4 linked regions of the Pelodiscus sinensis genome follow. The main gene of each other region encodes a partner of the protein of the gene in region 4 in a complex. Links are inferred from orthologs where the notes say so. Each region holds a gene or a part of one and is shown on either strand. Other genes may lie near its edges. The genes, in order: NUP85, NUP107, NUP93 and NUP98.

Region 1 (7,848 bases), on a different chromosome or scaffold from region 4:
CTCCGGTAAGCCAATGGGGTCACCTACCATATTTGCTTTTCTTGCTCTGCATCAGGATGGTTTCTTCCCATGCCTTTAATAAGGCTTCTTGAAAATACTGCCAGCTTTCCTGGACTCCTTTCCCCTTCATGTAAGCATCCCAGGGAATCCTGCCCATCAGTTCTCTGAGGGAGTCAAAGTCTGCTCTTTTGAAGTCCAGGGTGTGTATTTTGCTACTCTTTCTTCCTTTGGTCAGGATCTTGAAGTCTACCATCTCATGATCACTGCTTCCCAGCTTGTCACCCACCTCTACTTCCCCTACTTGTTCCTCCCTGTTTGTGAGCAGCAGGTCAAGCTGCACATGGCCCCTGGTCGGTTCCTTCAGAACTTGTACCAAGATATCCCCAACATTCTCCAAAAACTTCCTGGATTGTCTGAACTGCTGTATTGGTCTCCCAACAGATGTCAGGGTGATTAAAGTCACCCATGAGAACCACGGCCTGCCATCTGGAAGCTTCTCTCAGTTGTCCAAAGAAAGCTTCATCTACCTGATCCGGCAGTCTATAGCAGACACCACCCACAACATCACCCGTCACTTCCACCTCTAAATTTAACCTATAGACTCTCGACAGTCTTTTCTCCCTCTAAGTACTGGAGCTCCGAGCAATCATATGCTCTTACATACAATAGAACTCCTCCTTTTCTCCCCCGCCTGTTCTTCCTGAACAGTTTAGCATGACTGGAGCACTGTCATGGAAGGGTATAGTCATCCCACCTTATCTCTGTGATTCCAATCAAATCATAGTTCTTTGAGTGGGTCAGGGCTTCTAATTCTTCTTGTTTGTTTTCCAGGTTTCTCGCATTGGTGTACAAAAACCTTAGATAACCAGCTGATCGCCTTGCTTTCTCCATCTAAAAGAGGGGTCCTCCTTTGTTGCTCGTTCCTCCTTGTGATTCTTCCCAGTGTCCGACTTCCTCACTTACCTCAGGGCTTTGGTCACCGTCTCCCAATGAACCTAGTTTAAAGCCCTCCTCACTAGATTTGCAAGCCTACCCATGAAGATGCTCTTTCCTCTCTTGGTTAGGTGGATCCCATCTCTTCCTAACAATCCTTGTGCCCAGAACAGAGTCCCATGGTCTAAGAAACCAAAGCCCTCTGACACCACCTGTGCAACCACACATTTACTTCCTCAATTTGATGATCCCTACCCAGACCTTTTCCTTCAACTGGGAGGATGGAGGCGAACACAACTTGCACTTCAAATTCCTTTATCCTTCTTCCCAGCACTACATAATCTGCTGTGACCCGCTCAAAGTCATTCTTGGCCATATTGTTAGTTCCTACATGGAGAAGCAGGAATGGGTAGCGATCCGAATGTTTAATCACTTTCGGAAGTCTCTTGGTCACATCCTGAATGCAAGCTCCCAGTAAGCAGCACACTTCTCGAGATTGCAGGTCTGGACGACAGATGGATGACTCAGTCCTCCTTAGGAGGGAGTCCCCAACCACCACCACCTGTTTTCTTTTGGGGGTGGTAGTCGTGGAACCCCCATCCCTCGGACGAGGCATCCCATGCCTTCTGGTAGATGGTGTTCTCTTCTAATTTCTTCCCTGAGAGATCCCTGCCAAAGCATTCTCCACCGCAGTGCTGTGAAGAAAGCCTGAAAGCAGTTACTTACCTCTACAGGAATGGGGGATACCTGAGTTGGCTTTCTCCTTCTAGAGATGACATGGTGCCAGTTTTCTTCCTTGTCCTGTACTGCCCTGACTGGCTCTTCAGCCTGCTGTGCCTGCAGGATTAAATGCTGCCTTCTATCAAGGAAGTCTTCATCCTTTCTGATAGAATGTAGGGTTGATACCTAGGCTTCAAGTCCTCTAATTTTTTCTTCTAAAATGGTGACCAGCTTGCACTTAGAGCAGATGAAATCCATTCTTTCTTCCGGGAGGAAGACTAACATGGCACATGCTGTGCAGGTAACAACAGCAGACCTATCACCATCCATACCTGCCTTCCTTCTGAGAGTATCCTCAGATGTTATTAAATGCCTCCTTGAAGGGCAGGAGAGAGAAAAGAAAAAAAAATTCAAGGAAAAGAGCACTAAACACTATGGGGGTCTCCTAGGGTGAATTCCCAGGCCAACTCCCAGGTTGGCTGCTGCTCTCTGCGTTTGCTCTGGCTGCCTTTTTAAGAAGGCTGAGGCTAGGCCTGTCTCAAAGCCTTGCCTCTGATGCAATCAACCCCTGAAGGCCCACCAGAGCTTAGGAAGTTTTGATAATAGTTTAGTGAAAAGATTTTTTAAGAACGGTAAGATTTTTTTTTTCCAAACTCCCTCTCAACTCCCTGTTATCAGCCCCTGTTATGATCATAAATGGGGAGGCCTGTCCATAGTACAGGGTAGCAAGGGATGGAGGACTACACTCTACCTTAGAATCATAGAACCATAGAGCTGAAAGAGACCTCAGAAGGTCAAGTCCAGCCCCCCACTCTAGGCAGGACCAATCCCAACTAAATCAACCCAGCCAGGGCTTTGTCAAGCCGAGTCTTAAACACCTCTAGGGATGCAGACTCCACTCCTTCCCTAGTTAACCCATTCCAGTACTTCACTATCCTCCTAGTGAAATAGTTTTTCCTAATATCCAACTTGGACCTCTCCCACCACAACTTGAGACCATTGCTCCTTGTTCTGCCATCTGTCACTACTGAGAACAGCCTCCATTCTCTTTGGAACCTCCCTTCAGGAAGTTGAAGGCTGCTATCAAATTCCCCCTCACTCTTCTCTTCTGCAGACTAAACAGACCCAACTCCCTCAGCCTCTCCTCAAAAGTAATGTGCTCCAGCCCCCTAATCATTTTGGTTGCCCTCCGCTGGACCCTCTCCAATGCGTCCACATCCTTTTTGTAGTGGGGGGCCCAGAACTGGACACAGTACTCCAGATGTGGCCTCACCAAAGTCGAATAAAGGGGAATAATGACATCTCTGGATCTGCTGGCAATACTCCTCTCAATGCAACCTAATATGCCATTAGCCTTCTTGGCTACAAGGGCACACTGTTGACTCATATCCAGCTTCTCATCCACTGTAACCCCCAGGTCCTCTTCTGCAGAACTACTAAACTGGTTGGTCCCCAGCTTGTAACTATGCTTGGGATTCTTCTGTCCCAAGTGCAGGACTCTCCACTTCTCCTTGTTGAACCTCATCAGATTTCTTGTAGCCCAATCCTCCAATTTGTCTAAGTCACTCTGGACCCTATCTCTGCCCTCAAGCATATCTACCTCTCCCCCTAGCTTAGGATCATCCGCAAACTTGCTGAGGCTGCAATCCATCCCCTCACCCAGGTCATTAATAAAGATATTGAACAAAACCGGTCCTAAAACCAAAGCTTGGGGCACTCCACTAGAAACCGAACACCATCCGGACATCGAGCCGTTGATCACTACCCGCTGGGCCCGGACTTCTAGCCATCTTTCTATCCATCTTACCATCCATTTAGCCAATCTACATTCCCTTAACTTGCTGTCAAGAATATTGTAGGAGTCCATATCAAAAGCCTTGCTAAAGTCAAGGTACATCACATCCACTGACTTTCCCACATCCACAGAGCCAGTTACCTCTTCATAGAAGCTAATCAGATTGGTCAGACACGACTTGCCCTTTGTGAATCCATGCTGACTATTCCTAACCACTTTCCTCTCTTCCAAGTGCTTCAAATGGATTCCTTAAGGATCCTTTCCGTGATTTTTCCAGGAACCGAGGTAAGACTGACTGGCCTATAGTTCTCTGGATCGTCCTTCTTCCCTTTTTTGAAGATGGGCCCTACAATTGCCTTTTTCCAATCATCCATGATTTCTCCCAACCTCCATGACTTTTCAAAGATAATGGCCAAAGGCTCCTCAATGACATTTGCCAACTACCTCAGTACCCTCAGATGCATTAACTCCGGACCCATGGATTTGAGTACATTTAGCTTTTCTAAATAGTTCCTAACCTGTTTTTTACCCACCACGGGCTGTCCATCTTCATCCCATCTTGCATCACTTAGCGCATTAGTCTGGGAGCCCACCTTGTCTGCGAATACAGAGGCAAAGAAAGCATTGAGTACTTCAGCTTTCCCTTCATCATCTGTCACTTAACACTCAGAGACTCAAATACCTATATCTGTGTGCAGAATTTACCACCTACAGCATGAATCCAGGTATGGAGCAGGTTAAGCAGTTGCTCCATTACACCAATGTATGCCATCATCCCCACCTATGCAGCTGGAAGGAAGAGAGGCCAGCAGTGGGAGAGCCCTCCAGCTCTGCTAGCACAACTCTCCCACCCCCTTATTTCTGGATCCCTACACACCAGCATGATGTTGCCACAGGCTGTTTGGACTGAGCATGACACCGCCTGAGCCCACCCGCGAGAGCCATTGCACCGCCCTCCCCCGGGACTAGAGCAACGCCCCAGGGGCTGCCGCTCCAGCCTGATGGGCAACGTGAGGGCGCCCCACAGCCAGCGACACCGCCACCCCGCGAGCAGCTGAGCCGAGCCGCCAGCGTTAGGGAGGGACGAGCAAAGAACCCAACCCAATGAAGCCCAACCCACCCCCACCCCTCCGAATGCATTGACTCGGGCCGCCTCTCCCGCTTATATAGCTTCGCGGGGTCCTTCCAGCGCTCGTTGCGCCATCGGGCTGTCTATTGAGCGCCTGCCCCCCATTTCAACATAAAAGCCCCAAAAGGGAGAACTTACCCTCACCCTTTCCAACACACGCAATTCCCCCCCTTCCTAAGGAGCTAGTCGAGAAGCGCAGCTGCAGCAATGTGGCCCAGGTGGCGTAGATTTGTGCAGGCACCGCAGTAGTCAGCTCCGAACTAGGGGCCTCTCTCTCTGCCTGGCGCCCTGAGTGCAGGCGGCCTGTGGTGGCGGCAGAGCTGCTTCGCTTCCGCTGTCCGGCCCCGGCCTGGAGAGCGCGCTGGTGGCATGGAGGAGCTGGATGTGGAGCCGGCGGTCACTGTACGGCAGAGCGAGTCCCTACCTCTGGGGAGGCTGGACCCTCCTCCCCCTGCCAGAAGCTCTGGGGCGGGGGAGGGAACAGGCGAGGGGGGGCCTGCGGGGAGAGGGGCGCGGCTGTGCGGGGCAGGGAGCTGTTGTGCCTCACTTCGGCCCCTCCCCCGTACCTGTGCATTACTGATTATCTCCCTTTGTTAGCACAGATGAGTCCCCCGCGCAAAAAAAAAAAAATGCAATGATCATTAGCGCAGTACCTAGTGCTCTACAAGAGAGGGTAGGATCATTATCCCCGTTTTACAGATGGGCAAACTGAGGGCATCTCTCTTGTATCTGGGAGCAAGCATCCCAGCTTGGTTAGATAGACTTGTGCTAATGGGGCCTTGCCCTAGTGTGCTAAAAATGACTTTGTAGATATTGCTTTTACATTATGGCTCTCAAACCCACCCCATCCTCTCCTGGGGTTAAGAATGCGGGCTGCAACACTAAACAGCTAATTTGAGTTTGCTACTGTGGGCCCCACTACCACAAGCTTGTGGACTGAAATTGGGAGGCTGCAAGGGAGACATACTCTGAAAGAGGAAAAGGAATCCCGCTTGCTTGCTCTGTTGTCATAGAGAGCAGCCACATGCTTGATAGTCCCTCTGCCTTCTTTCCTAACAGCTGATTCCTGGAGTGGACTCCAATCGGAAGCAGATGTGTTTTGACTGGGGACCTGGAGAGATGCTGGTGTGTGAAACTTTGTTCCCAAAAGGTGGATAGCTTCTCTTTCATTTTTGAATGCTTGTCTTGGGTGGATTTTACTAAATATTAATGCAGAGCAAACTGGAGTATTGACAACCTCTAGGCTACGTCTACACTGGCCCCTTTTCCGGAAGGGGCATGTTAATTTCACCTATCGTAGTAGGGAAATCCGCGGGGGATTTAAATATCCCCCGCGGCATTTAAATAAAAATGTCCGCCGCTTTTTTCCGGCTTTTAAAAAAGCCGGAAAAGAGCGTCTACACTGGCCCCGATCCTCCGGAAAAAGCACCCTTTTCCGGAGGCTCTTATTCCTAGTAGGAATAAGAGCCTCTGGAAAAGGGCGCTTTTTCCGGAGGATCGGGGCCAGTGTAGACGCTCTTTTCCGGCTTTTTTAAAAGCCGGAAAAAAGCGGCGGACATTTTTATTTAAATGCCGCGGGGGATATTTAAATCCCCCGCGGATTTCCCTACTACGATAGGTGAAATTAACATGCCCCTTCCGGAAAAGGGGCCAGTGTAGACGTAGCCCTAGTGTTCAGAAACTGTAAATTAGATCCCAAAATAAATTAGCTTAAAATGAGATATTTGAAAATAAGCGTGGGGTTCTTTTTATTGCCTTTTAAAGAATTTGGTGTACGTTCAGATCATGTTTTTCAAGTTTTATTTTGCAACGAGAGCTAGAAACTTCTTGGCCGGTCATTTGATTCTAGGAGTTGAGGCTTCAAGAACACCACCAAATGATGTGAGAGTTAGCAACACTGTTAAACAGCTAAGAGCTGGGTGAAGAATTCAGTCACATTTGTGCACATTAGACTCATACATTCAGTCACAGTAAGCATACATGATCAGACTTAGGAATTATATTGAGCAGATTTGAATTTTCATTATCACATGCAAATTATTAAGGAATTTTGTGGAATTGAATATTACAGAGGGTCTGATATTTTATTAATAGTTTTGTGCCTCTTGTCCTATTTTTGTGCTGACTCCTAGACTTTTTACCAAATAAATTTCCAGTTAATATGTTAAGAACCATTACTGTAAGTACAGAAGTATATTACTATCCAATAGGACTGAGATTCTGCAGAGCCATAGCATTCATTTGGCTATTTTATGGTTTACATGCTTCATTTCAGGACGTGAAGAGAAAGGGCTAGGCTGCCCCAATATTTTCATTGTTCGCAAAGATCAAGATGTGTACTCACAGACATTACGCAAACTCTTCAATGAATCCCATGGGATTTTTGTTGGACTACAGAAGAGTGAGGAAGAATTGGCTGGGAAGTCAAAGAAGGCACAGTGAGTAAACAGAAATGCTAGATACTGTTGAAACAAAAAGAGAACATGTCTGCTTCCCTGTTCCCCATGGAGATCAGTAGTGAGGCATAATTTAGATGTGCCACTTAATAGTGGAGGGCGAAGGCAGGTTGGGAATAGTTCCGTCAGATCTGTTTCTCAAATAGTGTTGCATCTGTGCATCTTGTTAGGTTGGTAAGTTTGTGAGTTACCAAAGGTACAATTCATACAGTATATACCTTTGTTCATTGACTGAATTTAATAAAGAATATCTTGATTGTTCCTTTTATTTGTGCCCACTCTCCTTTACTGTTGATCTCTACTGCCTCATCTGTAGATACGAGGTAGGAGAGCAAATCCCCTATGCCTTTTACAGATTGTCTTGTTAGAATGTGAGGTAAGGTGATACAATAATTATTCTGTGCAGAAAATGACCAGTATATTGTTCCCCTTCCTCTACCAAACATATAAATCTTTCTCCAATGAGTGGAATAATGAAACTGAAATTCTCTTAGCTGGTGAGTCTCAGTAATATTGTGTAACTAATTTTTCCTGTTACCATTTTACAAAATTTGGCCCCAATCCTGCAAATAGACCTCTATGCCTGTGTAGAGCCCCACTGACTTCAGTACAGTGCAGGAGAGATCTGCCTCTTCAGAGAAACTTGTAGGATTGGGGCCCTACTATCCTGTAGGCACAAGACTAACAATAAATAAATCTCTCTAAACAAGATTTTTGTATTCTTCACAGATTGGTTCTAGTGAGTAAAAACTACCGTTCAGTCATAAGAGCTTGTATGGAGGAGATGCACCAGTTGGCTAGTAAGTTATTGTTCT
Region 2 (7,986 bases), about 260 Mb from region 4:
CTGAAAGCAGCACCCCACTAGCAGCACCACAGAATTAAGGGTGGCAGTAGCATACCATGCCACTTACTACTTTGCTGCTCCCTTCAGAGCTGGGTGACTGGACAGTGGTGGCTAATGACTGAGGGCCCAGCTCTACAATTAGCTGCATAGAAGTAATGTGGTGATACCATCTTTCTGTGCTGCTGCTGGTGGTAGCTTTGCCCTCAGAGCTGGACGCTTAGGGTACGTCTAGACTACATGCCTCTGGCGACAGAGGCATGTAGATTAGGCTACCGGACATAGTAAAATGAAGCGGCGATTTAAATAATCGCTGCTTCATTTAAATTTACATGGCTGCTGTGCTGAGCTGACAAACAGCTGATCAGCTGTTTGTTGGCTCAGCGCGGCAGCCATGTAAATTTAAATGAAGCAGCGATTATTTAAATCGCCGCTTCATTTTACTATGTCCGGTAGCCTAATCTACATGCCTCTGTCGCCAGAGGCATGTAGTCTAGACGTACCCTAAGTCAGCAACTGCCTCTCTTCAGCTGCCCAGCTCCAAAGGCAGCACTGCCACCAGCAGAAGTACAGAAATAAGGGTAGTATTACTGGAACTAGTGTTCCCTATAAAAGATGTGCACTTGTGCAACTGCTCAGGAGAAATCCAAATGCCACCCTGCTGATTAGCAGAGTGCCCACAGCTTGGTTTTGTGTTTCTACTGGTGGTGCAGGTTTGCACATGCCTCAGTGCACATAAAATTTATTCTGCACATGGAAAAAATCTGCACATGGATGGAAAATATTAGAGGGAACATTGACCACAACCCTCCCATACAACCAACACTCTTTTTGGGTCAGGACTCCTACAACTACAACACTGTGAAATTTCAGATTTAAATAGCTGAAATCATTACAATTATTTTTAAAATCTTACGACACTGAATTTGGTTTGTCTACTTATCTCACATAGGTGTTTGAGGCTTTATTTGTAAAATGCTTTCTAGCCCCCAACTGAAGACTAAGATGTGAATTATTACTCTTAGGTATTCATATCTTGCAGAAATGCTCACTTGGTTTCATAATGAGTTGTTGATAAAATAGAAGGGGGGGAGGGGTTAACAGAGTTTACAACTTGTAATAACTGGTAACTTCTTGGGTGGAAAAGGGGTATATATTCATATCCATACTTTAAATCCCAGCTCACAAACAAAATTCTGTGTCTGTACAGAGTCTAGCACAATGAAGTCCATTCTTGTGTGGCCACCAGCCCTTACCATAATAATTTGTTTTACATTATTTATAATTTTCCACTCTGTTGGGATTTTCATTTTAGACTTAATAGTTTTAAAAACTCTGCAAGCATCTTTGTCTGTCCGTTATAAAGAAAAGGCCATTGAGTTCTGTAACCCCTAGGAGTAGACCCATCACCATATGGACAAAATCCGCTACTATCCCCATTGCATTGTAGCAGTGGCACCAACAGCCAACTCAGGTGCTTTCTTGGACGTGTTCCCCCAATTGAGGCAAACCCAGCCATGCTATGTTTCCCTCCAGCTTCTTTTCGACCAGCTGTCTAGCAATGACTACACCATCTATCGTAATTTTTACTTTTCTAAAACTAAAGCACTCAACTATTTGGCTCTTTTGGACAGTTTCATGCAGTGGGATGATAGCTTAATTCCTTGGTACTCTGGCCCTATGTGTCACATTTTTATTTGTACATTAGTACCAATTAGTCTCCACTCTGTTGGGATTTTCTTCTCTCTTCAATTTGCATACAGGACTCACATGAATCAGCATTTGCCAACCTCTCTCAAGGCTCTGATGGTTTCTGTTGTGACTTTGTTGAGTCCTGTTGCTTTTCCAGGTAACATCATCTGCACTGCAGCCTGGACATCTCAGAGATCAACATCCATAATAATTGGTTCACATTACGGTAGTGTAGCATATCTTAAGTATATCACAGTGTTTTCACTGTTACTTACAAGTCTTCTATCACAAGAGGTCTGCTCCCTATATTTATGAATGGTATGTTCCCTCCCTTCCTTCCTTTTTTTTTCCTTGTTCATATGACTGCATATTTTTTTTGAGAGTAGTTGTTGATCTCATAGAGCTTATCTAAATTTAGGGTTCCTGACTGGCTGCTTGCTTGGAAGTTCTATATGTGGCCATGTGTTCTTCCAAAGAGGTCTTTTTTCTTTGCTTGTTAAACTATTTTTTCATGAGACACTGGTCTCCCCAGCTGTTTAACTTCAGATCAAAACATTCTTAGATAGACCACTCTAATTCTGCTGTTACAATTTGTGTACCTTTTGCCTCAAACCTTTCCGCTCTTTCCCTAAACTTATCAACAGTACCCCACACAGTCTCTGTATCCTTGTTCATGTCTCACTGGCACAAAGATCATGCCAGGACCATTTGTCAGTTGAAACTGTACCAGTGGCTTGTGTTGGGATGTGATCATTTTGCTCAACATAAATTTACAATCCATAACCTCCTCCTCTAGCTCATTCAGACTAGCAAGAAATCTATTTGCCTGCTTTTTTTGCTGCTTCAGAAGGTGCAAAGATGACTTTCTCTTCTTTTGAACTAAGTGTCATTTATCCACTGTAGGGATATTACATTTTGACTAATCAGCTAATCTAGTACTCAGTGGATTTTCCGAGTACTCAATTGGTTGATAAGCAATGGGGGGAGGAGGGGGCGCTTGCAATCCCAGCTGCGCCATTGCCTTTTAAATGTAGCAAAAGCTCTGCAGGGTTCTTACTACATCTAAAGGCAGAGGTACAGTAGAGGGTTCCAACTACTGCGCCTCCACTTTTTAAACGTAGCAAGAGCCCCGAGGGACTCTTGCTACATTTAAAAGGCAGAGGGGCAGTGGGGAACTTGGGGCAAGTGGGAACTCAGGCAGTATGGGGTTCTTGCTACACTTAAAAGGCTGAAGTGCAGCAGTCAGACCCGGTGCAAGTGGGCACTACTTGAGTCCCCGCACTTGCTGTTTTCCCCGATTCGCCTCCGCCCCCCTTGCTCCCCCCCATAGATGGTACTGCGGGGAGACGGTTTTTAAGCCAGCTCCCCCCAGCACTGGTTCCTGTTCTTCCCCCCCCTGGCCTCCCTTCTTCCCCCCCGCCTCATATAGAGGCAGCAAGGGGGGAGGAAGCAACTAGTGGAGTAGTGACTCGACTAGTTGCTTACATCTCTAATCCACTTATTACCTGAACCCATCTCTAGCAGTGCAGCCACATTTACATTCTGTAATTCCAGTGCATACTATCCTGTATCTGGTCATAGCCTGATTGACTTGAGCCCCCAGCAATAATTCCTATGGTCTGGCAATAACTTCTAGTTTCTGTAGGCCCTTCCTAACCTTTTCTTCAGGACATTGGTTGTCACCAGCTCTGAGACACTGGCCATTTTGAATGTTTTTATAGGATTGAGACCTTGACACTGACCTTCCCCAGGCCATAGCAATCCTTTGGGAGATATGCCTCAGTGCCATTGACCCCCCTGTAATCACACCTACACTCTCCTCCCCCTACCCCCATTGCCCTGACTTCTGCATCCCCCACATCCTCCAACCCTGACTCCTGGACCCTCTCACAACCAGCCTCCTCCCCCTGCCCCAAGCTCCTGCTATCTTCCACAACAGTGCCACCGCCTGCTGAGCCCCCTACACTGCACCCCACTTTCAATTCTTAGGAGCATTGTCATATCACACCTCCCCCTTTCCTCTGCCCTGAGCCCCTCCTCAGGGGACACAACAGTAAATAAGAAACGTTATTTTCACTGCTTATGGAAAAAAAAACCTTCATTCCACCTGTGCAAAAGGATAACGAAGGGCTGCTCCCAGCACCTTGTCTCATGCTTCCCTCAAAGGCCAAAGAGAAGCAGTTGAGTGAAAGCTAGGAGCTGAGAAACTGCCACTACTGTTGGCCGCACTCCAAGGAAACCAGGTGGCCAATCTGCCATTACTGCGCACATCATTAGGTGCCCCACGGCACACATCAGCATCACTATGGTTTGTTGTAAACCATGCTCGCACTGCTATGGCATCTGCATGGGAAATCAGTGCAGAAAAAGGTGGGAACAGACTGCTTCGCCCTGATCTCATGGGCAGGGACTAGACAAGCCTATGATGGGATGCTGACATCAACCCATAACCACCAGTTGCACAGTTTTGATCACAGCGGGCACCCAGAGCAGAGACCAGAATACAAAGCTACACGGTGCATCGTGCTCCGAGTGGACGGCGGAGTCCCTGACGGGGGCAGGTAGTTCCGACTACATCCAAATCTTCCCCACGGCGAGCACGCGGACCTCTGGACTTTGCAGAACCGGTGACCAGAGACCGACCATCATAGAGTCTCCCTTATCTCCCAGTGTCCACATGGCCCGAGCATTCGCAGGGAATCATTCATCCAAGATCAGGTCCTGTGCTGAAACCAACAGGAGCGCGCCTTGCCCAGGCAAGCCCGAGAGCCTGGCGAGCGGGCAGCTCCCACGCGGCGGAGGGGAAGCCGGCGGGGCTGTGAGAGCAGCAGGCGCCAGGATCTCTGCGGCAGGACTGCGCGCGCAATCCCAGCGCGGCGGCGCGCGCTGCCTTCCTCGATCCCTTTGGGCTGCGAGCTCCGGGCAGCCGCCACGCGCCTGCGCAATGTAAGCGCGCCCTTTCCCCGTCAAATCGGGCGGCCTCGTTCAACTTCCGGTTCGAGGAACGCACGCGCTTCCGGGTCCGGGCCATGGAGAGGTGAGCGCGGCAGCCTAGCGGGGCTCGGGATAGTGGCCGGCCTGGCCCGGAGGGAGCCAAGGCCCGAGCCGGGACCCCCAAGTCTCCCCTCCCCCCACCGGCTCCGCGGCCTGGCGCTCCCCTGAGGCTCTCGAGCGGCGGGAATAGGCTCTTGGGGCCCTTGCAGAGAGACCCGCCCCCCTGCGGCTCTCTCGGGAGTGGCGGCAAATAGAGCCGGAGCCGTAAGGAGCGGGGCCGGGCAGAGCGGTGAATGCGGGCGGGGGGGGGGGGGTTTGACCAGGCCCGAGCGGAAAGGGCTGCTGTGCTCCTCTGCCTGCCCTCCCGCGTCACTCGGGCCGCAGGGCTTCTCCAAAAACAACCTAGCGTCCTGCAGCACCTTAGCGCCTGTCAAAACATGTGGGAGGTGTCATGAGCTATCGGGCGCACAGCTCAGTGGAGTTTAAGGGGTGGGTCTAGTTTTCAAACAGCACAGAGAAGGGAATGGGGGGGGGAGAGGAGGAGAAAAAAGGGAGGGAGGAATTGACAATTAGAGTGTCCATGCTGCATGAAGCTGGTAAGAGTATTTAGTACTCATTTTAAGTACCCTTTGTTTGGTTTTTATCATTAGGATGTGGAACGTGGTAAGAATCAAACTTGTAAATGAAAATAAGTTTTGTAGCTCTGCTCTTGAGCTGGCTTTTGAAATTGGTTTGAAATAATATGGTGACTTTGAGATCCATTAATGAGTGTCCAGGCAAGTTAGACTTAAACTACCTCTGACACTTCTTCACAGTAATTCTTGCTGCTGCCAGGCCAGTGGCTCCCGTCGAGCTAGAGCATGTCTTTTTGATGAGGAATAGCCAGTCTTGATTTTTAAATCTTCCATGGTGCAGATTCAACTATCTGTGGCTGTTTTGTGCACAAATCTCCTTGGTAAATTGTTCTGATGGTCACATACCACTCACTTTTTTTAACAATGGAGATATTTCTACTCTGAATTTGTCTTGTTTCAACTTCAAGTCTTTGCATCTTGTTACATGTTTTAATACAGCTAAATGCAATGTCTTATATTTAGGACCAAGGGTATAGGTCACACTAGAAAAATTGGGATTTGTGTTCTGGAAATCAGGGACTCTGAGAGGACTTAAGAATCATAAGTGATAATTAATTGAACATTTTAATGTGTTTTTAATTTATTTAAAAGGGCAAATGCAGTCCTTGTAGGGGGGATACCAAGTAGGAGCACAGAGGACATATTACCTCTGTATGGGTATGTCTAATCTACATCCCTCTGTCGAAAGAGGTATGTAATTTAGGCAAATCAAAAGTGCAAATGAAGTGGGAATTTAAATATCCTGCACTTCATTTGCATAATGGTGTCTGAGTGCTTTTTTGAAAAAGGGTTTTTTGAAAGTGAAAGCACCGTCTAGAGGCGGTTCTTTTGGGAGTGTGGGGGGAACCTTTTGAAAGAGCCTGTACTCCTCGTTCTCCCAGAGAAAAATCTAACACTGGAAGATTAGCAGGATTTGGAATTTCAGGCAAATATTCACTTTTGCCAGTCTAATTTTGACTATGGAAAAGGCTAGCATCTGATTTAAAATAACATTACAGAAAGGGTTCACGGCAGCTTAGGGCAGGTCTGCCCTACAAATTTATAATAGCACGCACTTCCTTCTAATTTTTTTCACGTATGTGTGGAATGAATTTTATGTGCACTAGAATTGTTAAAATGCGTGTAATTAAGTAACTGTGTAACTGCTGAAAATTTCAGCGGTTACACACAAGGTTTGCAGACAGGCTGGAGTGGTCCCACCTTAAAAGGGGTAAGCAGTTAAACATTATGTTTAACAGTTAACCAACTGGTTAGGATTTTACATCCCTAGTCTAAAACAACTGAAGTTACCAAGTGTTCTGTCTGTAGCTTCTAATATGGAACATATTTACATAAGAAATAGATTAAACAAATCCTTTGCATAAATGTAGCATATTAAGGCTCTTGCACAACATTCTCAAAAGTATTCTGACTAATGGTTGTAGCTTCCACAGCATTATGAGAATCCAGTATTCCACAAGACTTTTTTTTTCAATAAAGGCTATTTCTGGATAGATATTAGTATTTGGTATTTCAGTTTTAAGTTTTTGTTGTTAGTTTCTTTTTTTAATTGGGTTTTGTATTTAGTACCATCCAGTTACTTGCTACACTTCTGATTCTTTTAGGAAACGTCATCTGAATGTGTTTAACTGTAGCAACTGTGTTCCTGTTTTGTAGGAATGAATTTGGAGAAATGTCATCCTCACCAGATATAGAGGTGACCAGGCCTGCTCGGAAACAGAGCTCTAAAAAAAGAGTTTCTAGTATCCTTTTTCTGTCAAGCTTTTTTTCTGTCCTGTTTTAAAAGGTATAAAAGTTGTGATTGCTTCATGCCACAGTTAACTTTTCTTGATTTGGGGTTCAGTAAATGAAGACTTTCCAAAAATTGAATTGTCAGTTGAAGAATATTGCAAAACTTATTCCTTTAATTTAATACACATTTGAAGTCACAAGTTACATTAATGTGTACTTTAAAAATTTGACACTGAGAGTAAAGGAGCCCAACATGTCTGCTGTTGCTGGTAGCTCTCTGACTACAACAGAATAAAACTAACAAGATGCTGACCCTTTTCGCTATTCCAAAGAGCAGCAGGGAATTTGACAGGAATCATGTCAGTTCCATGCTGGTTTGCTTTTAGATTTGCCTTCATGCACTGGAATTATGTATTGAGTAGGAGGGAACCACAAAACAAATTGAGGAAATGGTTGAGGAGCAGAGAATACTTCTCCCTGTTCCCCTCCCCCAAGCAATTAGCAGACTTGTGTAATTAGAGAGCAGATATAGAAAGTTCTTTTTCTTTCAGTGAGGGATGAAATATCAGATAAAGCAGATATATTCTAGCCAAAGGCTGATGTACTAATACCTTCCTAGATCCCTTATGGTGAGTTTCCCTTCGTATGCATGCTCATCTTCACTATCCGCCTCTGTTTAGTAGGTTTAGCCTTAGTCCTCTAGCTATTAAATCTCAGGTAAATATTTCAGGCTTCTTTAACAGGAATTATCTCTTAGCCTTGGTAAATTTAGTGGACTAAGTGGACATTCCCTGTGATATCTTAAGGATTTCTTAAGATGCTGTGATGCATGGGTGGGGAACCTTTTTGGGGGTTTTCAGACCCTCAGAAAAATAGGTTGGGGGGCCACACGCGTGATAAGCAAAAACAAAAAACCCTCACATTGATATGGTCTCTG
Region 3 (8,010 bases), on a different chromosome or scaffold from region 4:
GTGACGAAAAAGTTAAGGAAATTGGCCTCTTATAGGAAGGTTTTGGAAGATGAGCTGTTGGAGGACCAATCTGGATGTGAAATATTGCTTGTCTGTAGAAATATTTTTAAGAGGAGGTGGACAGAATCATAAAACTGGAAGGGAGCTAGAGAAGTCATCTTGTCTCCAATAATGGTGATTCCATAACCTTGCTATGCAATTTATTCCAGTGCTAAACCTGACAGGAAGGTTTTTCTAATAACCAACCCAAACCTCCCCTTGCTGCAATTTAAGCCCATTGCTTCTTGTCCTATCATCAGAGGTTAAGGAAAATATTTTTTCTCCCTCCTCTTATAACAACCTTTTAGGTACTTGAAAGCTGTTATCATATTATCTCTTTTCCAGACTAATCAAACTCAGTTCTTCCAAGCTTCCTTTGTAAATCATGTTTTCTAGACCTTTTATCATTTTTATTTCTCTTTTGTAGACCTTCTCCAATTTGTCTACATCTTTCATGAAATGTCACACCCAGAACTGGACACAGTACTCTATTTGAGGTCTAATCAGCGCAGAGTAGACCAGAAGAATTACTTCTCATGTTTTGCTTACAACACTCCTGTTAATACATCCCAGAATTATGTTTGTTTTCTTGCAAGTGTCACATTGTTGGCTCATATTTAGCTTGTGATCCACTAAGACCTCTAGATTACTTCCTACAGTACTTCTTCCTACACAGTTATTTCCTATTTTGTATGCATGAAAGATATTGTTCCTTCCTAAATGGAGTACTTTTGTCTTTCTTCAATTACATCCTGTTTACCTCAGACCATTTCTCCAGTTTGTCCAGATCATTTTGAATTATAGTCGTGCCATCCAAAGCACTTGCAACTCCTCCCAACTTGGTATCATCTGCAAACTTAATAAGTGTCCTCTCTATACCAATATCTTACTTGATAAAGATATTGCACTGGTTCCAAAACTGATCCTTGTGAAATCCCACTCGGTATACCCTTCCAGCATGACTGTGAACCATTGATAACTACTCACTGGGAATGGCTATCCAACCAGTTACGCACCCACCTTATAGTAGCCACATCTAGATTGTATTTCCCTAGTTTATTAATGAGAAGGTCATTCAAGACTGTATTAAATGCTTCACTAAAGTCTAGTTATACCACATCTACCACTTCCCCCTTATCCACAAAGCTTGTTATCCTATCAAAGAAAGCTATCAGGTTGGTTTAACATGATTTGTTCTTTTTGCAAATCCATGCTTCCTGTTACTTACTACCTTTTTATCTTCTAGATGTTTGCAAATGGATTCCTTAATTATTTGCTTCATTTTCTTTTCTAGTACAGTAGTTAAGCTGATTGGTCTGGAGTTCCCTGGGTTGCCTTATTTCCCTTTTTATAGATGGACACTATATTTGTCCTTTTCCAGTCTTCTGAAATCTTCCATGACTTTTCAAAGATGACAGTTAATCGCTCAGATATCTCCTCAACCAGCTCCTTGAGTATTCCATTATGCATTTCATCAGGCCTTGCAGGATCAGATCCAGGGATTTCAATAACTGAATAGTCCCTATGCTGGGATGCAAGGAGGGAGCCTTTTTGAACCCACACTGTCACCTTACAAATCTGTGCCAATTTAGTCCATACTAATGGCTTGGAGTCTTGGTTGCATCTTGCAGGAAATGGGAGCTATTAACCAAACCCCAACCTGGAATTCTTTCTTCCTAATCAAATTGGATGGAAGAACAATCTTATGCCCAAGCCAAGGGCAGGGAATCTCTGTGTATTCCTTGTGTTTCCTGTAATTTTGCAAATCACTATTGTGCACTATAGAAACTTTAAAGGACTGCAGAAAAAAGAAAACATATTAAGAAAAAAATCCTCCCTCTACTATCTTTATGGTAGACAGTTGGTATTTTGAAGTAGGATGCTGGATCCAGTGTCCTTGAAGGCCAGTGTCTGATGCTGGTATTATGAATGTCAGACACCAGACGATCACGCAGCTCCATGTCACCAGTGAGGCAGACAGCATGAAACAAATCCAGATGGCAAGGTAAAAAACTATGAGGCAGGAGGGAAGGACAGCTGTTCTCTGGCTGCCTTTTAAATAATGTTGCTGATCTTTCAACAAAAGCACTTAAAAGCCTTCAAACAGGCAGCATCTTTAGCTATTTAACCCTCCGGCAGCAGCCAAAACTAGTAAAATGAGACTGGGAGAATCTGCTCATGAAGAGGATTTGTTAGCGTTGGCAAGTAGTGCATATCTGGAGAGAGAAAGGGGGAAGCAATCACTTTCTTATACTCCCTTGGCTATGTCTAGATTGCATCCCTTTTTCGTAAAAGGGATGCAAATTAGACGTATCGCAATTGCTAATGAAGCAGGGATTTAAATCTCCCCCGCTTCATTAGCATCAAAATGGCTGCCGCTTTTTTTCAGCACGGAGCTTTGCCGGAAAAAAGCGCCAGTCTAGATGCAGATCTTTCGGAAAATAAAGCCTTTTCCGAAAGATCCCTTATTTTAAGAGGGATAAGGGATCTTTCGGAAAAGGCTTTATTTTCCGAAAGATCCACGTCTAGACTGGCGCTTTTTTCCAGCAAAGCTCCGTGCCGAAAAAAAAGCAGCAGCCATTTTTATGCTAATGAAGCGGGGGAGATTTAAATCCCCGCTTCATTAGCAATTGCGATACGTCTAATTTGCATCCCTTTTACGAAAAAGGGATGCAATCTAGACGTAGCCCCTTGTGTGGCAATTTGATGTATTTGTGATTCCACATGGCACAAGAGGGGCATCATTAATTTTCACATTGTTAAATGAAACAATTATTATGCCTGGATGCCATAAACTTATGTATTCTAAAGGAAGATGTTTACAGAAGAAATTCAGGATGGGGTTATGTTGGAAAAAGTCCTTCCCTGAAATCAGCCAGGCTGTAGGGTCAGAAATAGATTTCTAACCTTAGGGGTTTTCTAAGGGAATTTCCACAGCCCACCAAGTGGGTAGCACCAGCTAGGAAGTGGGCATGGATGGGGCAGACGACTAAATCAGTGATTCTCTTCAGTAGCCTTAGCTAGTACAGCTTCCTTAGGGTATGTCTGCACTAGGAGATTATTTCAAAATAACTAAATTCAAAATAATAACTTCTGAAATAAAACCAAAGTGTCCCCACTACAGGGGAGTCTTGAAATTAGTATAAGGCAGGCTCCATTGTTGTGGACATGATACCTCAACTTTGAGCCCCAGGAAGCACTGGGGAATATTACTTTGAATGACTTTAGGGAGCAGTTATTTTGAAATAGCAGCAGTGGAGTGTCCACAGTAACGCTATTTTGAAATAACCATTATTCTTCGAGGAAAGCAATACAGATTTTGAAATAACCAGGCCATTGTTTTGAAATAATAGGCTTGGTAGTATGGATGTTTCGCTTATTATTTCAAAATAAAGAGGGTTATTTTAAAATAACTTCTTACTGTAGATCAGGGCTTAAGAGTCCTAACTGTAAAACAAAGTTGCTCAATTCCCTAGTAGTAATCTTGAGCTGTAGGGTGGTGATTGTACCACAGTTGCCCATCCTTTGAATGCCTGTGGTTAATTTACATCGCTCTGCAGCAGCCCTCTGGAATGTGGCCATACATACAGCTGAAAAGTGTATAAATGGGACATTTTTGTTAATTCTTACCCCCATACCAAACTGAACTAGAAACTAGGAACCAAATCCTTCTGCCAGTCGTGTGATCCAGCAACTCCCCAGACCAGAGAATCCCTTCTGTTGGCATAGGTAAATGCTATAGCAGCACACAGCACAGGGCATGGTGGGCATAAATCAGGAGTAACTCCATTGCTGTCACTGCAGCACACGGCTATAAGGCAGAGGGACCCATGCTCCTTGTCTGCCTAGTGCGTGGGTGAGCAATAATTTTTGGAGGGGGGGCCACTTCGAGATTTTGGAAAGCGGTGAAGGGCCACACTTTTCTGTGGAGGGCATACAAGGTCCAGGATGGAGGTTGGGCACAGAGGGTAAGGGACTGAGGTGCAGGAGACAGTGTGAGGTCTGAGAGGAAGTTTGGGCAAAAGAGGGAGTTGTGACCTGGGTTTGGGGATAGGGTCAGCGAGGGGTATGGGTGCAGGAGAGGGTTCTGGCCTGAGAGAGGGGCACTAGAGCTATGTCTACACTGGCGGGTTCTTGCGCAAGAATGGCCATTCTTCTGTAGAGCATCCATACTGCTCGCCTGCTCTTGCACAAGAAGGTTTACAGTAAAGTGTGGTAAGAGAGGACTTCTTGCACAAGAAGCTCTCTTGTGCAAGAGGGCAGCGTGGAGGCGCAGCAGGGGTTTCTTGCACGAGAAAGCCCTATGGCTAAAATTGCCATCAGAGCTTTCTTGTACAAGAGAGCGTCCACACTGCCATGGGTGCTCTTGCGCAAAAGCACATGGCAGTGTGGATGTGTTCTTGCACCTGCCAGTGTAGACAGTGTAGCCGAGGTGGGGGTGCAAAGTCTGGGAGGGAGCTGTGACCTGGGAGAAGGGGAAAAGGGGATGCAGGCTATACCGGGTGTGGGTAGTGACTTGGGGCAGGGGAATGGGGTGCAGGGTCTGGGAGGGTGTTGGGGTGCAGGAGAGGATTCTGGCCTGGGGGTGGGTATAGGGGGGTACAGGGTCTGGGAGAGAATTGTGTCCTGAGGCAGGGGGGTGCAGAGGGTTAGGATGGTGACCTGGGGAGTTGGAGTATGTATAGGAGGCACAGGGGTGCCAGAGGCTGGGCTCCCTGCCTGCTGCAGCCCCAAATGACTGACAACGGCAAGCTGCAAACACCACGTGGCGCTCAGCTCTGGGAGGGGAAAGAGATTTGCGGGGCTCCCATCCTCCAATCTCTCAGATCTTATTGGCTGGTTGTTTCCAGCCAATAGGAGCTCAGAGATTGCCGGGGTCAGTTCCTATTGGCCGGTTGTTTCTGGCCAATCGGAACTAAGGCTTGGGCTGGGGGCGGGGAGATGGCAGGACGCTTCCCCCTCCCTGCAGAGCGGAGAGAAGCGGGGACTGAGCTCTGTGCTACGTGCCTGGGGGGGTCCCGGCAGGGGGGCCCGCGGGCCGGATCCAGTGGCCCTGGCCTAGTGACCGCAGGCAAGGCCATCAGCCCCCTGCTCAGGCAGCGATCGCGCCTCCTACCCGCCTTGCTTAGTTAATTTCGCCACGTGCGGGCTCTTCCCATCCCAGGCTCGTTCTGGTGCAGGGCAGGCGGAGCGCACAGCGGGCTTGAGAGCGGTGCGTTCAGCTGTTTCTGCAGTGCCAGGCCCCAGGCAACCTCAGGCAGCTGGGCCCCCTGCCCAGCCCCAGCACGGATGCGATGGAGCGGGGCCTAGGCCAGGGCACCAGCTGCCTCAATTGCCGAGGTGCGGATGGATCCGCTCCTACTAGGTTCCCGCTGGGCTCTGGCCAATGGCCCCTACACACCCCGCACCACTAGGGATTTCCCCACCTCGCCCGGCCCCCAGGGACCCCACTCTGGGCCCGACGCCCGCTGCCCACCAGGGACCCCACTCTGGGCCCGGCGCCCGCTGCCCCCCAGGGACCCCACTCTGGGCCCGGCGCCCGCTGCCCCCCAGGGACCCCACTCTGGGCCCGGCGCCCGCTGCCCCCCAGGGACCCCACGCTGGGCCCGGCGCCCGCTGCCCCCCAGGGACCCCACGCTGGGCCCGGCTCCCGACGCCCCCGGGGACCCCACGCTGGGCCCGGCGCCCCGGGGACCCCACGCTGGGCCCGGCGCCCGCTGCCCCCCAGGGACCCCACGCTGGGCCCGGCTCCCGGCGCCCCCGGGGACCCCACGCTGGGCCCGACGCTCCAGGGACCCCACGCTGGGCCCGGCGCCCCCGGGTCCGAATCCCTCGCTAAGCGTTTCAACCAAGCTGAGCTGACGTCAGTGGCGCGGGGGCCGCTGGGGGAGCGGCGCTTCCTCCAATCAGCGCGCCCGGCGCGGAGACAGCGGCTCCCGCAGCGGAAGGAGGCGGCAGGTAGGCGCGAGCTCAGGCCGGCGGGCGGGGGCGCCTCGTGCTCGCGGCTACCCCCACCCCGCCCCCGGCGGTGCCGGCCTGGCGAGGGGCCCTGGGCCCACGGGGGCGCCCGGGGACTGTGCCAGGGGCGCTCCTCGGTCCGGTGGCCTTGGGCTCGTTCCTTAGCCCCTCGGCCGCGCCTCAGGGGATGGGGGCGGCCCGCGGGGCGATGCCAGGCTCCTCTGGCGTGTCCGCCCCTTCCCCGCCGGAACCGGCTCCGCCTGCCCCGCCGCCCGCGCGGGATGTGTCCTGCCCGGTGACCGGGCTGCGGCGTAGCCGGGCGTGTCTCCAGTGTCTCCGTCCGGCGCCTTGCCCGAGGGAGCTAAGCACCCCTCCACACGGGCGCCTGGTTCCCCAGAGAGTCCCGCCCACAGTGCTTGGCACCTGTTTGGGCCCGGAGTACCCAGGGGTTTCTTCATGCGGCCTGGATTGGGCTGGTTTATTGTAGCCTCTGCTTAATGCTGCAGCGCAGCACTACATAGGCACGTAGGACAGGGATCTGGAGGAAAAGTCTGGGATCTAATTGAAACGCCATTTGGGAATGTAAGTAGGTGGAATGGGAGGCCTTGCGGAGTACTCTGTCTGCTGGTAGACTAGTGATAGAGATGGAGCCGGGTTAGTCTGGTGTAGCTGAAACAAAAAACAGGACTATGTAGCACTTTAAAGACTAACAAGATGGTTAGTCTAACGTGATGAGCTTTCTAGGGCCAGACCCAAGTGGGTCTAATAAACCATCTTGTTAGTCTTTAAAGCGCTATGTAGTCCTGTTTTCTGTCTGCTGGCTGCTTGTGTAACCCACACACCTACTGGGTGTGCTGCACTTAGATGCTTAGAGAGAAAGATTGAGTGTGCTCTACTGCCTCAGCTGAAAGCCAGTTGGTCTAAGCTCCAGGGGTCCCCGGTTCAGTTCTGCTGGTGAACCCTACACTTTGTGGCTGATTCTTGCTCATATCTGTGGGGTCATACTAATGGCCGTATGTGGGGGAGAGGGAAAGAATTGTTCCTCAACTCAAATTGGCAATTAACTTGGTAGGGTTTTGCTCCTGCAGCATGAGTGCATGGTGGGGTCACTTGTCACATTTATCTGGGTATATCTCACAATCATTTTCCTGCATTTGTGTCCTTGCTATTCACTGCCTAAGGCACTTAACAGTCTAGTCACCTGTGGGCTGCAATACTTTGGCATAGTTTTGGTTGTTGAATTTAGTGTTCAGATGGGTGGTGGTGATCTGTGATGGATAGGCGGTCCACCTAGATTGCGGTCCTCAATCTTTTTCTTTCAGAGCCTTTCCTTCCCCCAATATGCTATACAAACTCCATGGCTCACTTGGGCTACAACAATTGGTTTTCAGGTATAAAACCCAGGGCTGGCATTATGGCAGGGATGGGCAATAATTTTTGGCCAGGGGCCACTTCAGAAACTTTTGAAGTAGCCCTAGGCCACCCAGGAAAGGATGGGGCCTCAGGTAGAAGGAGTGGGGCTAGGACACTTCTGTGCTTTCCCACCCATAGACCCTGCTTGGTCTGGGGATGGGGGATTGTGCAAAGTTCCCCTCCCCCCGGAGAGAATGGCAGTTCCCTCTAGGTACCTGTGCCTGTGGCAGTGAGAGTAGACTTTGCATGCTTCCCCCTGCTGCCCCCAGGTCAGTCAGGGCCTGGGGAGTGGGAGCATGTGAAGTCTCTTGTTCCCTGCTCGCACCCTGCAAGGGAGCAGCAGCTGGCAGTTGACTTTAAGTACTGAGCCCCTTGCATGGCAGGAGGAAACTTCACGTGCTCCCCTTGCCTCTAATCCCTGATTGGCCTGGGGGAGGGGGGAACTGCGTGAAGTCTCCTCCCACTTTGCCCCTGTCCTAAATGCTCCACGCTCCTTGCAGAAGTGCCGCACCCCTTGCAGGGTGAGAGGAGACTGCCCACTTCTCCCCCTCCTGCAGGCCCTGATTGGCTTGTGGGTTGGGGGAGTAGCAGGCCACCGCT
Region 4 (7,353 bases):
CCCAGCAGGGCAGGGGATGAGTCATTATGCAAGGAGGCTTCGAACCTGTCTGACCAGTTATCTCCCAGGGAGTGGAACAATGGGAAGAAGGAGAGTGGAGCCCTGGCTGGGGGCAGGGCTGGAAGTGAGTTAGTTGGGTTTCTGGCTGGTATCATGAAGGAAGCAGCCTAGGCAACGGGCTGGGATTTAGGGGCCCAGGCTCCCCCATCTCAAGGGGGGGCTGAGGCATCCTAGGTCTGCCCTGTAACCAGATTACATATGTGCTGTGCTGTATCCTGGAGAAGCAATAAACTCTCTCTATTCTACTGGCTGGTGGAGTCTGTCTGTGCCATTACGGGGGTGCAGGAGACGGGAAAACCCCGACGCGCCATCACACTAATACTTTAACGCAAAAACTTTTGCGTTAAAAGTATTTGTGCAAAATCATGCCAGTGTAGACGTAGCCCAAAAGTATAAAATTAGTGCTTTTTATGCCAGATCTCTGATGCTCCCGCTCAGGAAGAAGCCCTTTTGTGCAATAGCTCTTTTAGAAGGCTGTGTCTACACTGGTGCAATCTTGCACAAAAGCAGCCGCTTTCGCGCCAAAACATGCTGCCTGTCTACACTAGCCGCATGTTCTTGCGCAAGAACACTGACATTCTAATGTATGAAATCAGTGCTTCTTGCGCAAGAACTATGATGCTCCTGCTCAGGAATAAGCCCTTTTGCGCAATTGTTCTTGCGCAAGAGGCCAGTGTAGATAGGCAACATGAATTTCTTGCGCAAGAAAGCCCTGTGGTTAAAATGGCCATCAGAGCTTTCTTGGCAAGAGAGCGTCTACACTGGCATGGATGCTCTTGGGCAAAAGCACATCTCTTGCGCAAAAGCACATGCCAGTGTAGACCCTCTCTTCTGGAAGAGTTTTTGCACAAGAACTCTTCCGCAAAAGAGTTCTTGCGCAAGAAGCTGCCCGTGTAGACATAGCCTGGCAGCTTCTTGCGCAAGAACTCTTTTGCGGAAGAGTTCTTGTGCAAAAACTCTTGCACAAGAGAGCTTTTGCGCAAGAGCATCCATGGCAGTGTAGACGCTCTCTTGCGCAAGAAAGATCTGATGGCCATTTTAACCATAGGGCTTTCTTGCGCAAGGAATTCATGTGGCCTGTCTACACTGGCCTCTTCTGGAAGAGCTCTTGCGCAAGAGGGCTTCTTCCTGAGAGGGAGCGTCAGAGTTCTCGCGCAAGAAGCCCTGATTTTCTACAGTACAATGTCAGTTTACTTGCGCAAGAACATGTGGCCAGTGTAGACAGGTGGCATATTTTTGTGCAAGAGAGGCCATTTTCACGCAAGTACGCGCCAGTGTAGACACAGCCCTTCGTTTTAAGGACAGACCTAAAGCAGACTCCATGACGACTCTTTTTGCTAATCCAATGGAAGCTGGAATCCTTTGCCAGTCGAGGTGGTGGCTAAAGAGTTGAAATCACTAAGAGCTGAAATCACTGGTTTGGCTGGGAGCCAGACCCATTGCAGCCAGTGAAGCAGTGGGCGGCTAGTAGGACCTGAAGCGGCCAGTGGAGTGGCTGGTGGAAACGACTGGCAGGCGGCCGGTAGGAACAGCGGCAGGCGACCAGCGGAGCGTCCGGTGGAGTGGAACGAGACAGCTGGTGGAGCGGCTCGCGTTAAAGACTGCAGCAGAACCCTACGGAGAGGTGGGGCCGTTAGCTTCGGACCATGTAAGATGCCACTATCTATCTCCTTGCCCCCATTTCCACCCAGGTTGGGAGGTAAAACCCTGCAGGTGACCTTTTGGACTCTACGTGGCACTGAGCAGGGACAGAGACTTTTGGGGTGTCGGACTTTGGGACTTCGGGTGATTCTTGGCTGGAGTGGGGCTTAGCTCACGTTTGGGCTGTGAACTCTGTTTGTGGTATTTTTCCAAGTTAATGCCGTATGACTTCTCTCTCTCTTTCATTAAATGTTTCTTTCCTACACTCAGACTCTATGCTTGCGAGTGGGGAAGCATTGTCTCTCAGAGGTGCCCAGGGGTGTGTGAATTTCCCAGGTTACTGAGTGGGGGCTCGAGCCGGTTCTGTGTGAGATGGACCCCTAGATATTGAACCCAGCCCCGGTTGTTGCCGGGCCTACCTGGCAGAAGAGTTACACATGCATCACCCTGCACCTCATGGTTCAATTAGAATATCTCTATCCGTTATGCTGTCATTTTAGCCCATTTCCTGAACCTGAGTTGGTATCTGTCGGGAGTGTGTGGGTACGAAGATCCTTTTTAAGGAGGTGTTGTTACCATCCTTCCTGAATGTGCTTTCAACTTATGTCTAGTACCAATTACTGTTTTACATCTTGTAACTAGTGCCAATTACTGTTCTACACCTGTGCTTATTACTAATTAGTTTTTTACACTCTTGGCCTTGTTGTTGCCAAGTTCTGTGAGCAGGAGCCTGCCTCTTGCTCACAACTTCGCTTTGCTTGATATTAGCAAGGTCTTAACCATTGTTACTCAGGTCTCAAACAGTCCTTAATTAATAGACCTGCTTACGGAGGCTCTGATGTTACCAACATTTCCAGCCATGTACAAAGATTGAATCAGGACCCCAGCATATTTTTGGGGGGCCCAGTACAAACTTGTAACATGGGCCCTCTCCCACACAAATACCACAATTTGTAGCCTGAGCTAGGCCCCTCTTGGCCTCCAGACCCTAGTTAAGTATATCTTTCCCCTCCCGTCCCCATGTGAGGGTGAATTCTTCCCTCTTGCAAACCACAATCCTCCTTCCAAGTTCCATGCAGATTACTATATATTTCAAACAAAAGATTGGGGGTTGGGACTGGGTGTTCCCAGGCTGTGCCACTGACTCACTATGTGAGACCTTGAGTAGGTAACTTCTCTGCACCATGTCTCAGTGTCCCCAGCTCTGAAATAAGATTAGTAATACCAAAGAAAACAGTATAAAATCTGGTGGTGCACATATGCACATGCCTCAGTGCACATAACATTTATTCCACATACAGATGGGAAAAATCTACCCATGGATGGAAAAGATTAGAGGGGACGTTAGTGAGGTAGTATCTTTTATTGGACCAAGCTGGTCTGACCTTGCCTTCTAATATCTTGGGATCAATATGACTATCACAACACTTGCATTAGTTCACAAACACCATTATTTTGCTCAGCACACAGTGAAAAGCAGGTGGGGCCCCTGTTCCAAGAAGCTGAGAATATAAAGAACTCCCTCCTGCAAGCTTTTATGCACAGTTAACTTTACCAGGTGTAGCCCCATTGAAATCAAACCTGTTTAGCCACTTTTGCGGTTGAGGCTTATTTGTTTTTGCAAAAATAGCTCTGGCAGGGGCATTGCATTACAGGGCTTCCTTGGAAAGGCAGCACAAGTCAGTGACTAGATGTGGTAGTGTGCTGAGGCTATGGGAAGGCAGCACAGGCTGAGGTTGCAATGGGGAAGGTAATGAAGGCCAGAGGCTAGGGTGTGGGTTTGGCTGAGTGGGAAGCAGTAGGAGGGGTTCTCCTTATCCATATGCAGAATACGCGGCCGTGAAGGGCACCTGAAAATTTGGGGCACCACTTAGTCTTAATGTTCACCCACTTGTCTCTTCCCATCCTTGTTCTGTGGCTCTGCTTTCTCAGGAGAGGATCTAGTTGACTTAAAAGTGAAAAAGCCTGCCAGAGCGATTAGCACAACACGGAGCCTATCCAAGTGGTAATGAAGACATCGAACCAGTTGTGTTAGTCTGCAGGAGCTTAGTTTAAAATCTGTTTTAAAAGTATTTCACGAGAGAGTTGCTGGAGATTATAAAATCACATCTCTACAAAAATCATCATCCCCGCTGCAGAGGGGCACCAGTGTAATAGTACTGCCCTGGGGCCTATGACTCCTAAGGGAGAGTCTGGTAGCAGGGCTGGGGCAGTGCCCACTGTGGGGCAGGCCAGGGACAGGGACACACAAGGGGAGCTGCTGGCTGGTTACTTTGGAAGGCACCCGGACCACGTGGCCCATGTCTTTTCCCCAAGAAAACACAGGCCCAGCCCCGGTTGCCATGGTAACGTGGTGCTGCCGTGTGATTGGCGGGCGCAGGATTAAGCCCCTCCTCTTTCCCCGCCCTTTAGAGAGGTGACTCAATGACCCGGATGTGGGGAAGAGCGCCGCTGGAAGAGGACGGAGTCTGGGCCAACCGCTCTCATGTTGACCAATGAGAACTCGTGTCGCTCGTGACGTTCGAAACGTCCCCTTCGCCAATCAGCGGAGGCAGCCAGGCGGAGGCGGGACCTGCCTCGGTTTCAAACGGCGGCAGCCAATAGGCGGACGGAACGGCGGGCTACGCGGGCCAATAGGGCGCGCGGGGAGGCGGGGCGCGGCGGCGGGAGGTGGGAGCGCGAGCGGAGTGTGACGCAGTTTCCCCTCCTGTGAGGCGACGGCGGACGGGTGGGCGTCGTGGCGGTGCCGTTTGCTGTCGGCGCGGTCGAGTCGCTCCCGTCGCGGGGCCCGGGTCCTCGGTAAGGCGCGGGCGGGGCCGCGCGGCCTCTCCAGCGGAGCCCGGCGCTTTTCTGCCGCTCGCGGCTCGCCCCAGGCCGCCGCGCAGGCCGCGCGCCTCGCTTCCTCCCGCCCGGGGCTGGTCTCCAGGGGGGCGCGAGGCCTCCCCGCGCGCTCCGGCCTGGCGCGTGGGGGCTGCCCAGGTTGCTGCGTGCCCGAGTGCGCGCGCGCGCTGCTGAGCCCGGGGGGGGCTCCCTGGGGGCACAGGATAGGCGCGTGGGGGAGGGATGGTGGCAGGGCTGTCTCCTCTCCTCCCCCCCCAGAGCGCGGCGGGCTTGGCGGTGACCCCCTTAGGGCGGCCCGGGGTTTGTCTTTGGGGTGCCCCATGGTCGGGATGCGCCTGGTGATGGGCACCCTCCCGAAGTGGGGGGGGGGGCGTTACTTTTGGGGGGGGGGTCGAGGCGGGCGACTCCCCAGAGTGAGGTGTGTGGATGGTGCAGTGGTGTATTATTAATAGTCTCGTGGCAGGCAGTGTGTCCGGTGAAAACAGCTTGAGTTTCACCGTCTGCTGACATAGTCAATGGGAGGGCAGCGCTAGGACTTCTCTCTCTGAACTCTGAATTCTCTTCCCTTCCCACCCCCCAATCAGCCAGGATGGTTTGGAGACTATTAATTATCCCTTTGTGTTGGGCTCTGTTGGGGAGACTAGCCTCATATTTCAGATGCTATTGTGTTTTTGGATGTTCCAGAGGTAAGAGTATAGTAGACTTCTGATAATCCAGAACCTATGGGACCTAGGTGGTGCCAGATTATTGGATATGCTGGACTATCAGGAGGTACTATAAGATGGTTGTGTGTGTGTGTGTGTATATACACACACACACACACACACACACATAGTATACATTATATACTGTATATAAAGTGTTCTTAACCCTTTTTATTGTACAGACTGTATACTGTAATGTTTTAGTTTTTTTTAAGCCTTTTTTTACCCTTTTTGCTCAGTTCAGCTGCTGCTGCTGTTACCTTGTAACTCATTTTTTGCCGAAGCTCATTCATTAGGCTCTTGCCATTTTGATGCCGGACTATCAGGAGTACCGGACTATTGGATGCTGGACTGTTGGAGTTTTACTGTAATTTTGTAGCACGAGTGAGATGGGGAACTTCCAGCAAGGCCCTGGAAATCATTTAAGATTTAATGTGCTTGGTGTCATAAAAGATACAAAAATAAACTCTTAGCCAATAGTGACTTGTGTAGTAAAAATTCCTAACTGTCAGGGTGGTCAAATATTGGAATAAATTGCCAAGGGAGGTGGTGGAATCTCCCTCTCTGGAGATATTTAAGAGCAGGTTAGATAGACATCTGTCAGGGATGGTGTAGACGGAGCTTGATCCTGCCTTGAGGGCGGGGGGCTGGACTCTATGACCTCTTGAGGTCCCTTCCAGTCCTATTATTCTATGATTCTATGATTAAAGCTACAGATGGGATGCGGTGGGAGATAGGGAAGGAATACAACTTTTTCTTCTCTTTAGCTGCTCACTAGTTAAGAATGGTACTATAACTTTTAAACAAGGAAGAAGAATTACATGGAAGGGTGGATTAATGTTCATCTAAGAGAAGATTTAGTTAGGTTTAGATACAAGAATACTTTTAAGGGAGGATGGGGAAAGTCGGTTATCTCCAACTCCTGCTGAAGGGAGCCTGGTTTAAAAATGAAAATTGATAGATTACAGGCAGTCCCCGAGTTAGGTGGATCCGACTTACATTGGATCCGCAGTTACGAACGGGGTTTGCTGCCTGTCTCCCTGGTCTCCTCTGCCTCGGGCTTCCTGTAGTCAGCGCTGGTCAGTTTCAGCAGCGGCTGAATCAGGACGCCTGGGGCAGAGCAGCTTGGGTGCTGCTGGGTTGGTCCAGTAGCGCCGAGGAGCGGCGCTACTGGAGCAACCCAGCAGCACCCAAACAGCTCTGCCCCAGGCGTCCCCAAGTCAGCCGCTGCTGAAACTGACCAGCGCTGACTACAGGAAGCCCGAGGCAGAGTTGCTCTGCCCCGGGCTTCCTGGAATCGGCCGCTGATCAGTTTCAGCAGCAGCTGACTTGGGGACGCCTGGGGTTCTTAAGTTGAATCTGTATGTAAGAACTGGTGTCCAGATTCAGCCTGTTGAAACTGATCAGCTGGCTGATTCCAGGAAGCCCGGGGCAGAGCAACTCTGCCTCGGGCTTCCTGTAGTCAGCGCAGGTCAGTTTCAGCAGCGGCTGAATCTGGATGCCAGTTCCGACTTACATACAGATTCAACTTAAGAACAAACCTACAGTCCCTATCTTGTACGTAACCTGGGGACTGCCTGTAGTTGTATGTTAGCAGAAGCTGAGAAGCCCTTCGGTTAGATAAACTGAAGGTATCTTAGTAGTAGAGGAAGCTACTGCATTCGGTGCAAGGGAGAATTGGAAAGACAAGTGTCAAGAGACCTCAGATGGCAATGGTCTCTTGACAATGGTAGCAGTCACCTGTAAGCCATACGGGGAAAGAGAAGTTAAATCATAGAAGCGGATGCAGCACTTTTGATTGTCAGTGTATGGGAACTATGGCAAAACTTAACTATCAGGTCAATAGAAAGTAAACATACTTTATTTTCAATGTATAATGAGGAAAAATAACAAGGATATACAGGTTGAACCTGTGGTCCGGGACACTCTGGCTCGGCAGAATCCATAGACTACGGTTTGAGGTGGCTAGGGAAGGGGGAGTGGGTCTCAGGGCACCTGCTGGAACCCCTTGGGCCGGGGCAGCAGTGGCAGGTAGCTTGTGTGCCTCCTGCCTTCTCCCTTCACTGGTCTGGAAAACCCTTGTCTGAGACGGGTCAGCTGTACCAGG

What was found.
Region 1: NUP98 (region 4) and NUP85 share a complex: the UniProt entries of both Homo sapiens proteins name them as parts of the nuclear pore complex. The link is inferred for Pelodiscus sinensis from reciprocal best matches to the Homo sapiens genes NUP98 and NUP85.
Region 2: NUP98 (region 4) and NUP107 share a complex: the UniProt entries of both Homo sapiens proteins name them as parts of the nuclear pore complex. The link is inferred for Pelodiscus sinensis from reciprocal best matches to the Homo sapiens genes NUP98 and NUP107.
Region 3: NUP98 (region 4) and NUP93 share a complex: the UniProt entries of both Homo sapiens proteins name them as parts of the nuclear pore complex. The link is inferred for Pelodiscus sinensis from reciprocal best matches to the Homo sapiens genes NUP98 and NUP93.

Annotation. Positions count from the first base shown.
Region 1 is NC_134730.1:12,413,181-12,421,028, reverse strand, and holds the start of NUP85 (nuclear pore complex protein Nup85), read left to right. Parts: upstream 1-4,846; 5' UTR 4,847-4,946; coding exon 4,947-4,979; intron 4,980-5,636; coding exon 5,637-5,727; intron 5,728-6,852; coding exon 6,853-7,015; intron 7,016-7,762; coding exon 7,763-7,833; intron 7,834-7,848. UniProt on the Homo sapiens protein: Essential component of the nuclear pore complex (NPC) that seems to be required for NPC assembly and maintenance. As part of the NPC Nup107-160 subcomplex plays a role in RNA export and in tethering NUP96/Nup98 and NUP153 to the nucleus.
Region 2 is NC_134711.1:63,434,258-63,442,243, forward strand, and holds the start of NUP107 (nuclear pore complex protein Nup107), read left to right. Parts: upstream 1-4,978; 5' UTR 4,979-5,134; coding exon 5,135-5,172; intron 5,173-5,489; exon of another isoform or gene 5,490-5,638; intron 5,639-6,974; coding exon 6,975-7,060; exon of another isoform or gene 7,061-7,104; intron 7,105-7,986. UniProt on the Homo sapiens protein: Plays a role in the nuclear pore complex (NPC) assembly and/or maintenance. Required for the assembly of peripheral proteins into the NPC. May anchor NUP62 to the NPC. Involved in nephrogenesis.
Region 3 is NC_134722.1:43,933,515-43,941,524, reverse strand, and holds the start of NUP93 (nuclear pore complex protein Nup93), read left to right. Parts: upstream 1-5,005; 5' UTR 5,006-5,110; intron 5,111-5,844; exon of another isoform or gene 5,845-5,997; intron 5,998-6,243; exon of another isoform or gene 6,244-6,579; intron 6,580-8,010. UniProt on the Homo sapiens protein: Plays a role in the nuclear pore complex (NPC) assembly and/or maintenance. May anchor nucleoporins, but not NUP153 and TPR, to the NPC. During renal development, regulates podocyte migration and proliferation through SMAD4 signaling.
Region 4 is NC_134711.1:325,796,606-325,803,958, reverse strand, and holds the start of NUP98 (nuclear pore complex protein Nup98-Nup96), read left to right. Parts: upstream 1-4,343; 5' UTR 4,344-4,500; intron 4,501-7,353. UniProt on the Homo sapiens protein: Plays a role in the nuclear pore complex (NPC) assembly and/or maintenance. NUP98 and NUP96 are involved in the bidirectional transport across the NPC. May anchor NUP153 and TPR to the NPC.